3 linked regions of the Danio rerio genome follow. The protein of the gene in region 1 interacts with the protein of each later gene in a pairwise test. Links are inferred from orthologs where the notes say so. Each region holds a gene or a part of one and is shown in the gene's direction. Other genes may lie near its edges. The genes, in order: max, mxd4 and mxi1.

The links.
Region 2: the proteins of max (region 1) and mxd4 interact in a two-hybrid assay, tested with the Homo sapiens proteins (2 studies listed by BioGRID). The link is inferred for Danio rerio from reciprocal best matches to the Homo sapiens genes MAX and MXD4.
Region 3: the proteins of max (region 1) and mxi1 interact in binary tests that used the Homo sapiens proteins (3 or more experiments, as listed by UniProt). The link is inferred for Danio rerio from reciprocal best matches to the Homo sapiens genes MAX and MXI1.

What each region holds. Positions count from the first base shown.
Region 1 is NC_133195.1:31,576,409-31,580,574, reverse strand, and holds the start of max (protein max), read left to right. Parts: upstream 1-1,346; 5' UTR 1,347-1,454; coding exon 1,455-1,490; intron 1,491-1,819; coding exon 1,820-1,846; intron 1,847-4,166. UniProt on the Homo sapiens protein: Transcription regulator. Forms a sequence-specific DNA-binding protein complex with MYC or MAD which recognizes the core sequence 5'-CAC[GA]TG-3'. The MYC:MAX complex is a transcriptional activator, whereas the MAD:MAX complex is a repressor.
Region 2 is NC_133176.1:27,732,690-27,736,344, forward strand, and holds part of mxd4 (max dimerization protein 4), read left to right. Parts: intron 1-593; coding exon 594-708; intron 709-3,187; coding exon of another isoform or gene 3,188-3,224; intron 3,225-3,655. UniProt on the Homo sapiens protein: Transcriptional repressor. Binds with MAX to form a sequence-specific DNA-binding protein complex which recognizes the core sequence 5'-CAC[GA]TG-3'.
Region 3 is NC_133197.1:32,209,784-32,214,136, forward strand, and holds the start of mxi1 (max-interacting protein 1), read left to right. Parts: upstream 1-1,408; 5' UTR 1,409-1,479; coding exon 1,480-1,699; intron 1,700-4,338; exon of another isoform or gene 4,339-4,353. UniProt on the Homo sapiens protein: Transcriptional repressor. MXI1 binds with MAX to form a sequence-specific DNA-binding protein complex which recognizes the core sequence 5'-CAC[GA]TG-3'. MXI1 thus antagonizes MYC transcriptional activity by competing for MAX.

The sequences.
Region 1 (4,166 bases):
AGCCGAAAGGAAAATGAATATGTATGAATGAATGAATGAATGAATTTCATATTCCTTTATTATAAATTTTAAGGAAATACTTTTGGTGTATCAAAAAGTGTTTATGATCCATCCGACAAGCGAATCCAGCTAAAAATAGTGCTAAACATAATAATTAAATAGAAAATAAGGCGATAACTGCAAAAAGGTCCACATTTTGAGAAAAAAACAACCACCTCTTTCATCAGGCTGCTATGGGCCTGCTATTAAAGAATCAGGATCAGTTTTATTTTGAAATGCATTATATAGTTTTCTATGTTATAGTTTTCTTCTGAAATGATCTGCTGTATTTGATCTAGATAATTGATTAAAATTACAAAACTAAATACTTTTCCCTTATAATTTAAAGTTGAAACAACTGTCTATATAAAGATTTATTTTTGCCCGATCACAGTCATAACAACAGCAGTTGTTTGTTAAAGGGTTTTAAATTATTAATATTAAAGTATTTTCAGTAATCTCTGATCACACTATTGATAACAGTATAAAGTAGGCCCACTACTAATGAATCAAAATTGTGTTTTCTAAGACACAGCTTTATACTGTTATGAATAACACCATTATTAGAGAATCAGGATCAGTTCTGTTTTAAAATGAGATATGTTACATTAAATTTGTCATGACAACAAGTTTTCCTCTGAAATATTTTGTAGCTACAGAATTATTATTATGCTTTAATACAGCTGTGATAAAACCACCACATCCATAATAATCAAAATAGCCAAAACAACATTGTTTTTATTCTCCGGGTTTTTTTTATATAATTGTTATTAATAAAGTATTAGCAGAAACTGACATCCAAACCGTGCTGTTTTTGTTTGTTTATTTCTGTCATTTTAAACTGTCATCAAGTTCACATTTAAAGTAGGTCGTTAGAGTAACCATGTTTCTGTGTTTTTATAGCTCTGATAAGAGTACTAAAACAAGAATATTACCAATGGTCTAAATATTTTTATAGTTTGCAATTACTCACAAATATGCACAGTATTAGTGACCCACGTATTAGTCACAAACAACGCTGAGCAATCTCCACGTGTCTTGCTGGTTCCGAGACATGTAAATGAACTACAATTACCACCTCCCATTGCCACCATAAGGGCTTTCCTTCAACCCCATGTAGAGACTCCGCCCAGAAAAGCTGTCTGGGTGTTGTAGTCCTACACAATAGTTCCGTGGTTACATCCACCGACTGCGTAACTTAAACAAACGACAAGTCCCACGATGCTCTGCGGCGCAATCACAGACGTGACACGCCACGGTAAATGTCCGTGTGTAGGCGAGTCACGTGTGGGGAGTCCGTTGATCTCGTTTCGTGTAAGCAGTGAATCTCTCCTGTTTGTTCATTTGATTTGGGCCCCGTTTCATGTTGTTTTCAAAACAACATTTCGTGTAGATTTATCTATCTTCGCCGAAGAATGAGCGACAACGATGATATCGAGGTCGACAGTGATGTGAGTATAGTTATTTTTGTTTGTACTCTGCATGTTTGAAAATGAAACCTCTTGTATTTTCGATACTTGAGCCTCAATACGGGGCTAGCCTGCTAGCTAGTTAGCCAGCCAACCTAGCGTTTGAAATAATTTCCCAGCCAGTTTATTGAGAATATCCAGCCAGATAAGCGATTAAACACGGGGGTCGAGTCTATACTCGTCTCCGTATGTGTACATTTGCGATTATGTGTAAGTTACTAAAACAGTGTATTGCATCCATCAAATAGCCAGTTAAGTATCACTCTTACAGCTGTAGCTACAATTGTACTTTCTGTTCTGTTTTCTTACAGGAAGATTCACCGAGATTTCACGGTGTGGTGCGTAATAAGCGGAGCAATTAATCCAGTTTAGCCTTTAATGCTGAAAATATCTTCTCTTTTTGAGATTAGCTACCATATATTTCCGGGTAGGTACTGAACGCCGACTGATTTGCATCGGTGGAAGACAAAACAATATAGGATGATGCCTTAAAAGGGGGCATGGATGTGTTGGATTCGATGAGCACCGGGGTCTGCTTGTTTTGGGTGGTTCGGGGAGCTCTGTGCTCGACAGCAGGGCACTTGCTGCAGGAGGGAGGGAGGGACGTTGGCTGAGCGAGAGCCGCAGCCACACTGCGAGTGCGCGACGCGATAGCCCAAAAGCTCGCGTCGCAGAAAGCCAGCAGCGAGATCTCTGTATCCGAGCATTCTGCTGTGTCGTGACGCTCGCAGTGTGTGTGTGGCGCAGTAGTTAGACGATGGAAATATACGACGGCAGGGTTATCATTTGAAATCTATGGCTTTAACATCAATGGTGTCTTGTTTTTGTTAGATCAGACCGTATATGAATAAATAAGCAACATTAAATATTAATACTGAACCTATGGAACATCCCCCTTGCCGATTTCCAAAGACATTTTGTACATTGTTTATACTAAATTGTCAATGTACGGATAAATTATTTTAAAATGATAGTAATACACATATCTTTGTTATATTAAAAAAAGGGTTTAATGGGGATTCTGTGACTCTTATTTTTCTAAATTAGAGAAATCTTAAATTCGTAATGGCATTGGCATTAATGTTGAATGTGCTTAAACATGTAATATCTAAACAAGCAAAAATGAATACATTTAATTTACTTTTGCAATAAATTGAACAAGTCAGGTTATGCTTAAAACAACAACAACAAATATCTGTCAACAGGGAACGAAAATTGATGAGTTGATTTTTTGAGCTCAATAAGCTCAAATGTTTGCTGTTTTAATCATAAGCTCACTTCATTTTGATCCATTTCAGGAATTTATATCATGTCATTTTGTTTCTTAAGTAAATATCTTAGTTTAAAGATCTTTCCATATTTTATCTGCAAAACAAGACGACAATACTGAGGATAAACTAAACTTTTAACAGTGTGATGAGAACATATATTTTCTGGTTAGTGGAAATCTAGTTATACTATTTGTTTTGTAAAATGATTAAGTTGTATTTTCAAATTGTGTTCACTGTCAATTTAGAGAAAATGTTGAGTTGACTTATGTGACCCTGCTACACTAACCCAGTCTTATGTTGCATGTCAATATCATTATATGGGTACATGATAAATGTACATTATCAATATTTATTTTATGCTACAATTCATTACAATATTGAGTTATTTAGTAAATATACCATAAGCAAAACTAAATTTTTGATAAGTACTGTGCGTTAAACTTGAAACTCAGCTTTTTTTTTAACCCCCAGATTACAGATGTTTAAATTGCTGTATGTTGGGCAAGTATTGTCACGGACACCTCATTAGTTCAGCTTTCAGATAATGCACGAATCTTAATTCCCAAAAACGGAGACATGTCACTGGTTTTGTGCTACAGGGTCACATATTGTCTTTTTATAATTAGATTTTTTATTTAGTCAAAGTATTAAAATGACCTTCATAAACCTGCAGAAAGATTGTGGTAAAAGTTTGGAACAAATGGAGTTCACGATGCAGTATTAATTCTTTTAATGGGTTTTTAATTACAAAAATTTCCAGTCTGATCAGTGACTTTTGAGAGAAGTTGGTTTGTCATGCTTTCCTTACATTACTCATGCATTTGCAATAGCCTTTAAAAAACAACACAAACAACAGCAAAGAAAACTAGGAACATTTCTTATGATATCTTATAATCCAGATACAAATTAAGTGCAATAATCTTTAGATTTTGTAATTAAAATTAAAGAGAAGCATTTGGTGTAGAACCTTGTCGTTTCCTATCCAAAAAAACTGATAATTGCAAATTTTAAATGAGCTTGACAGATGAAACTGTCTCTGAAATACTGGGCACAGCATAAAATGGTGTGTTAAATTGAGCAATTTGACCATCAAAAGGTCATAGGTCTTTTGTTTTGTATTTATTTTTACAATACATCAGCGTTGCTTTCAGGAAATTAGATTTAGGTTTCATTTTCTGGAATAGTACCACAGTCAGTTTTCTACTAAAATGTTTATGTTCTGTCAGTGTGGTGAGAAATCGAGCCCCGCCCCTGCAATCGAGTTTGCATAGGACCCTAATGGATCGTCTACGTTGAATGCCTGATGAAAAGTACTTTCTATAAACTATTCTCAGTCTTGAGATTTTAACAAGACTAATCATATTAGTAACATTATTATCGGTAACTC
Region 2 (3,655 bases), on another chromosome or scaffold:
GATAGAAAATTGTAGTTCTTGTTAGCTTGAAGTGCATTGATTAATGCTAACTAGCACAGCTTTGGATTTTAATGTGTTAGGAACTATTGAATTATGATTAATAAATATTTTACAAGTATTGTTAATCTTTAGTTCATTTAAAAAGAGCCACACTTTATTTTAAGGTAGAATGTGTGCTGTTAGCAAACTATTAACTATGACTTTTGCCTCAATTATTCCTTGATTTGCAACATCTTATATTTATTGAAGTAGTATTTTTCGGTATTTCGTTTTTACAGTAGGCAGGATTAGGGATGTAGAATTAGATCATGCAGAATATATTCTCTCTCTATAAGTAAACAGCCAACATCTCAATGAGAAATGTTACCTAAAGTGTTCATAAATAAGGAGTTGAGTCAGATAATCACACAAACAGTTCTCATATAAAGCTGCAATCACAGTCCATTTAATGTAGTTTCTAAGTTATGGTTGCATGATTTCAAACCCACAACCTCAATGTTAACAACCAACAGCATGATCCTAAATCATTCTCTTTGGTTTCAAATTTGTCCTCGTCTAATTCTCCCCTCCACCCTCTTCTTTGTTTCTTGCAGACGTGCCAAACTGCGATTGTACCTGGAGCAGTTGAAACAGCTTGTGCCTTTGGGTCCTGATAGCACCCGTCACACCACACTGAGCCTGCTCAAACGTGCCAAAATGCACATCAAGGTACAAACCAAATCAGCATTTCTTTGCACAATATCTGTTTGCACAGCAGTAAAGAGGCTTGAGCAGTTCCAGTCAGAAGGGAAGTTAATCAGAAACTGTCCACAGGAAATTTATGCCACTCTCCATGTTGCAAATCAGATACCTCACAGTTCCTGACATGGTGAAGATGGATGGTGATACTTTAGCTGTGCTTAAAAAAATTATGAACAAAAAAAGTGTCATCTAAGTGTGTGATGCATCTGACAATTCAGTTCAGAGAATCAGTGCATCCTGTGTGTGCAGTTTTTTATTTAAGGTTAATATTGATTTTTGAGTTGTATGAAGTACAAAATGTCAGAGTGTTGCAAATGTTCAGTTATCATTAAAGAAAAAACCCTACTAAATCATAGTTTAGTAGTGTGATCACAACCAACAGGGCGAAGCAGTGGCACAGTAGGTAGTGCTGTCGCCTCACAGCAAGAAGGTTGCTGGTTTGAGCCTCGGCTGGGTCAGTTGGCATTTCTGTGTGGAGTTTGCATGTTCTCCCTGCGTTTGGGTGGGTTTCCTCCGGGTGCTCCAGTTTCCCCCACAGTCCAAAGACATGTGGTACAGGTGAATTGGGTAGGCTAAATTGTCCCTAGTGTTTGACTGTGAATGAGTGTGTGTGTGTTTCCCAGAGATGGGTTTTGGCTGAAAGGGCATCCGCTGCGTATAAACGTGCTGGATATGTTTGGGTTTCATTCCGCTGTGGCAACACCAGATAAATAAAGGGACTAATATGAAAAGAAAATGAATGAATGAATGAATCACAACCAACATACATAATGAGTTTTATGATGAGACAGGTTAAAGGGTTAGTTCACCCAAAAATGAAAATATGTTCATTAATTAATTTTATTTTTCAGCTTAGTCCCTTTGTTAATATGGGGTTGCCACAGCAGAACGAACTGCCAACTTATCCAGCACATGTTTTTTTATGCAGCAGATGCCTTTCCAGTTCCAACTCATCACTTGAAAACACCCATACACTCTAATTCACACACATACACTACAGACAATTCACCTACACCGCATGTCTTTGGACTTTTCGGAGGAAAGCCACGCAAACACAGGGAGAACATGCAAACTCCACACAGAAATGCCAACTGATCCAGCCGTGGCTCAAACGAGCTACCTTCTTGATATCAGGCGACAGCGCTACCCATTGCACCACCGCATCGCCCATAAAAATATATGTTATTCTATAAGATATTAACCTCATGTTGTTTCAAACCTCTGAGATCTTCGTTCGTCTTTGGAACACAAACTAAGATATTTTTCTTTATAGACAGCAATAGTCCGATCTCGTTCAAGGTCCAGGAAAATAGGAAGAAAAAACATTACATAAATAGACCACATGCATTCAGTGGTTCAGTTGGAATATTGTCAAGCTACGAGAATACTTTTGTGTGCACATAAAATAAGAAAACAACTTTATACAACCTTTTTTTCTCTTTAGTGTCAGTATAGACCATTTTGAGGGATATAAACAATAACAATAGTCCAGACGTGTTTTCTGTTTTACATTTTACATTTCCATAGCTTCTTAGAGTCCAAAAAGTTCCATGTATTGATAAATAATGTTACAATAGCTGTTATAGCTTCAAGTTAGGATTGAATTGCCTCTTTTTACAGATATGAAATAGTTTGACAACAAGAAGGAAATTGTTTATGGGCCAATGAACTCACCACATTAAAATGGTCTATAGGACGCACATTAACAAGCAAGGGTCATGGATGCCACTTTAGCTATGAAGCCATTTTAATTCTGTCAAAAAGTTATTGTAGTCAGTTATTACTTAAAAACTAATTGTAAAAAATTTTCAAAATATAACTGCAGTGTACAAATTCTTGCCTTGCAAATTTATTTTTGTTAAATACAAACAAACACTCTGAATGCCTTTGTGTGACTTCCAATGTTTGAAATTGAGGTTTGGTGTACCTCAGCAGTGCAACATGAAAGCAGAATTCATAAAAAGCACAGCACTCTTCTGAACACTCATCTTATAGACCTTTTGCTTGGAATGAAAAATTACCCTTTATGCTTTGCGTGTATGCGCAGGGAGAATTGCTAAGAACTCCGGTCGGCAGCTTATGCATGTGACACGTGAACTAGGAGAATGTTTTTCTCATATTTTTGATGTGCTTGAACCACATCTGACAGATTAAATCGTCTTTAACGGACACATTTCTAAGTGTAGTGTCACAAAAACACTCTGTAATCTATTAAAAACACTATTGAAATCCATTTTTTTCTATTGTAAACGCTGTAAACGGAAGTTCTGACCATTCTACCGGTAGACGCTGGTCGCTATGGCGCTTTCCAAGCAGCAGCCAAGAAAAAGGTCTATACTAGCTTGACAATATTCTGAATAAACCACTAGTCATATGGTCAGTGTTGAGGATGTCATTTTGTGTTTTTCTGGTTTTATTCTAAAATCTCTTCATTTGTATTCTGAAGATGAACACAGGTCTCAGGGTTTTAGAACAACGTGAGGGTGAGTATTTAATAACACTAAACCCTTAAACCATGATATTTTGTTGTTGTTGTTTAATGTTATACAATCTCATTTAGTATAAGAAACTGTTATCACTTTTTTGCTTAATGTGTATAACACACTGCACAGTTGAGCTTTCAATTTGAAACTTTTCTTGAAAATGACATAAATGTTTCAAAAATACACAGACTACTCTTTTAATAGCTACATATTTTCCTTGTCCCTTTCTATATCACTAATGTCTAGTGAATGGAAGTGGTTCAACAACTGTCATTGTGTAGACAATGGCAACCCAGTGCCATGTGTCTGTTGACCCTTTTTCTTCTTTCCTGTTTGCTGCGCAGTATTTTTGCTCAATCTGCCTGATTTCCTGTCGTGCAATATAGATCTGTCTTTATATAAATATGTTTGTTTCATTTTTAGCTCCGAGA
Region 3 (4,353 bases), on another chromosome or scaffold:
AGTATGCGCATTATAAAGGTCATGTAATTTTGTGATAAGAGATCATGTGATGATGAAAATGTGTATAAATGGACAAACCAGCAGACTGAGCACATTGTAAAACATCTGAAATGTTGTTATGGTCATTCTAAAATGCCTTAGCATTCAAGTATTATTGTTATTATTTTATTAATGACCACCAGAATCAAGAGTGTCTGTGCTTCACGCCTTCAAACACCACCGCGCGTTCACTGCATGGATTGCCTTCTGAAGTGCAAGTCATTTATTAAATAAAGAAAAGATTCATGCAGCTTCTCCTACTGCAGCAAATTCAGTTTTTACTGTTAATAATTGCTGACAGTTAACCAGGAAGTGATAATTTTGTTTGCTTTGACTCGTTGGATGGAAACTCAGCTTTATTCGTCTGTCGTTTATTCGATAATACAGTTTTGCGCATAATGTTAATTCGCATTTTTGGATGGAAACATAACTACTGTCATGCTCAAGAACTGTCCTGTAAAGCCGCCTTTCCACTGCACACGACATTTGGACACGACTGTTGGAATACGCCCCCTTGTGGCAGCCGCACAGTATTTTCAGTGTTGTCGTGCACCGCGGGGGAGAAACTGATTCTCACGGTGTCCGAAATAAAGGAGGGCAAAAGCAAGAGCCTTTATTCTCTGTGCGTTTAGATAGTTTAATGGATGAATGAATACTAGAAACTCATAGACCGCTAAAATATGAAGGGAATGTGGAGAGAACATTAAAAATATTTATTTTTATTACTTTCTAACTTACATTTATGAACAGAAAAGTTTTTTTAATATAGACTTTTTATAATTCAAAAAATAACCAAATAAACTCCTTTTCTCATCTCGCATACACGGATCTGCTTGGACAACACTGGAATACATCATATCCGGTCGGCAGGTCGCATACGGTCTAGTCGCAGGAGTTCAAATTTTTCAACGGATCTGCGACTCAATTCGGATCGGAATTTTCCACATACGGAGATGATCGGAACTCAACGCAGCTCCCGGACTGTGGACTGCTCTCCATTTGAAATGAATGACTTCCGGCTGTTGCTTGTCGTTTGTTGTGTGAAAGTTTTTATTAATTAAACTGTTTAAATATTTAGGCAAGTAGCCTAGTAGGCCAATTCACAACATGTATAATAAGTTGTTTACAAGTAAGTTCCTGCATTACTTCATGTAAAGACATCGATGGTTTCTATTTCAGCTTTGTTTTTGTTGTTCGCTGTTATATCGTATTGGGGTGCGCGCGGGCCGGGGGTTTAATGACGTCACCCTCTGGGGGAGCATTGTAGACGTGACAGGAGTGCGCGGAGGGCGGACACTAGGACCCGGGGACGCCGAAGTGTTTTTATCTCCTCATCCATTACATTCCCCTCATTTATTCAGTAGATCCACTGAGCGCAGCACAGCACAATAACTCACACAACAGTTTCATTTCCAACCATATTCACTGCACGGGGACGAAATGGTGAGGAGCGAGAGGCAGCAGACAGAAGTGAAGGCCGAAGACTTGTTCCTGGAGTCCGAGACCTCTTTAGATCAGCAAGATTTTGAGATGTCTACTTGTCCTTTCAATGACGTCTTCAACTCCACAGACTCTTCCATGATAAACACTTTCCTGAAAAACGTACAAGTTTTACTGGAGGCTGCCAGTTACATTGAGAGCGCCGAGAGGAAGGATGGAAGTAAGTGAAATTATAGTGCACTTGTGAGGGATTGTTCTGACTCATTTGCGTAATGCAGAGAAACTGTTTCATTGTCAATAGACTCAGACAACAAAGGATTGAGTTCAACGAACAATCAGCCAAGTAGACAAGGAGCATGTGCAATGTGCCTCAATTTGAGATTCACAGCCTCAATGCTTTTAAATGAAGAAGTTTATTATAGCTAAATTGAATTTATTTAATATTTTATATATTTTTATTTAATATAGATAGCCGCACACAATCATCCAGTGCATACTCATTGGATTTATTTCAGATCTGTTTTATAACTGCAAAAAACTGATTTAATGTCAAATCTGCGTGGCTGTTTTCCACTTCGTGTGTCAAAAACAGATGAATAATTCCCTCTGCAGCGCACTTAACGTCCCAATTCGCTGGCGGACTGTCCCAAGCTGGCATGTACTGTCGTATGGGGCATTTCAGAGTCTGGCATTGTTCGCCAGTGGAGCATGCCAGCTCGTTTGCCACCTCTTTCTCTCGAGGAACATAAACAAGAAAATAAATAATTAAATAAGCAACATTTGCTGGCACAACGCACAGGATGACGTCACCTCGCAGCTTTTTCCCCTTTAACTTTTCATCACGCACCAAAACATGAAGACTGAGTACAATAAAGCGCTTATGGTACTAATAAACTCATTTGTTAATATATGAAGTTGTTTTGTGTGAACATTTGTTTTGGAAAATTTACACGATATACATTTTGCCTCCTCTGAATATAATAAATATTAAAATGATAATACTAATAATATAAAGTGCATATTAATATTAGGGATCAGCAGATTATATTCATGTTTTTTTCTGTCAGATATATTCGCTGTATTATTCGCTTCGTATTTAAATAAACGCATAATCATATCGTGTGGATCTAAAAATTGTTCATGCAGACAGCATAATCTACTTCAAAAGAGTTCTCCAAAATTGCCTTCCTGTTTCCTAGGGGGGTGTGTTCACATGACATCCACATGGCGCAGTTTTCACTGCTCTGATTGCTCAGTGCCAGTTGCGTTGGTGGAGGCTTACCAGGGCTCCTGTCCAATCGCAGAGCTGTTGGGCTGTGATGTCATATGTTGCTGGGCCTGGCTTAAACAGCGCTGGCAGTGAGGGGTTGTGGGAGTTGAAGTGCGTTGTAGCCAAATCTGAAAATATTATTCAAATAAAAAAAGAGCAACAATAAACTTTTATTACACACATATTACACAGATGAACAGGTGAAAATGTTACGATAGTATTGTGAAACAAACATCACTACTTTTTATACACATGTATTTATTTACAACATACTTTACATGCCAATTTGCACATAACACCTGCATATGTTATATGTAGGTTTATACCCATACATACACTATTCAATTTCTATATTTGTATTCACTTTTTACTTCTGTTTTTAAAATATATTCATTATCTGTTTTTTGTTTTGTCTCTGATTGTGTTGCACTGTTGTATGTGTGATGTGTACCTTTGTATTTGTGATCATACCTCGCAATCAGGGGCATAGCGGACATTTTAAAAGTGAGGGGGGCAGCTAAATGAGATTTAAAAGTTTACGTTTATCTTACTCACCTGTTTCTAAATGGTCCGACTCTAAAAGTATGAGAGACTGAAAAGTCCCTGTCCCCGTGCTTGCTAGACCCCTGCTGGCAATAAAGCTCTTTCTGATTCTGATACGTTAAGTTTATAATTAAGTAAAAGACATGACATTTTTTAAACTCATTACAACATTGTTTTGTATAAAGTAGATTGCAGGATTATGATTTAAATAAAATACCACGTTTTATAACAATATAATAGTAATACTTATGACAGCATGTAAAATTAGCATGTTTTTTTCTGGCATGTTTTAGTCTCACTTGCTAGAGATGCCAGATATTCACTGAGTACTTTAGTTAATGTGTATATAAATGTATCCAGTATTATTAATAATCAATAACCAAATATAAAGTATAATATTTACCTATATACAGAGAATTTACATTTTTAGAGTTAAATGCATACTGTTTAAAATATATTTTATAGTACATTACTTAATATAACATAAATATAACAATTATATAAAGGGCTCAGCACATATAAGTACACCTCTCACAAGTCTCTAGACATTAGACTAGTCAGTACTGAAGCCAAACCTAGAGCAACTTGCCTTAACCGTCCAAAAACTAGTACAGCCAAATGTATATGTTATAGAAAAATTTAAATACATATTTAAAAAAGAGGAAAAAAATCAACTGATGCAAAAAAAATATTACTATTTTGTTGAAATTTTGTAGGTTGTAATGATTTTGGCGATATTTAGCTTGAATTTAATTGTATTATGTTTCAATTTCTAAATGTTTGGTGACTAAAATATTATTTTCAAAAATATATTTGTCTAATAAATCTGTTTTGTTTAAATGCACCACAATACATTGCCTATATTCACTGAGAATTGGATCAAAATATTAATTTTCAAAATGATATATACACATTTTAAAAACATGTTGGCAGTAGCCCAGTTCGAGTTAAAGGGCCTGTTGGATGAAGAACTACATTTCCCACAACCCTCCGCGCGAAGTCTCTATCCGCTCAGCTGTTAAAACAGTAGGTAAACAAACTGGGGAGGAGAAAAGAGCGCA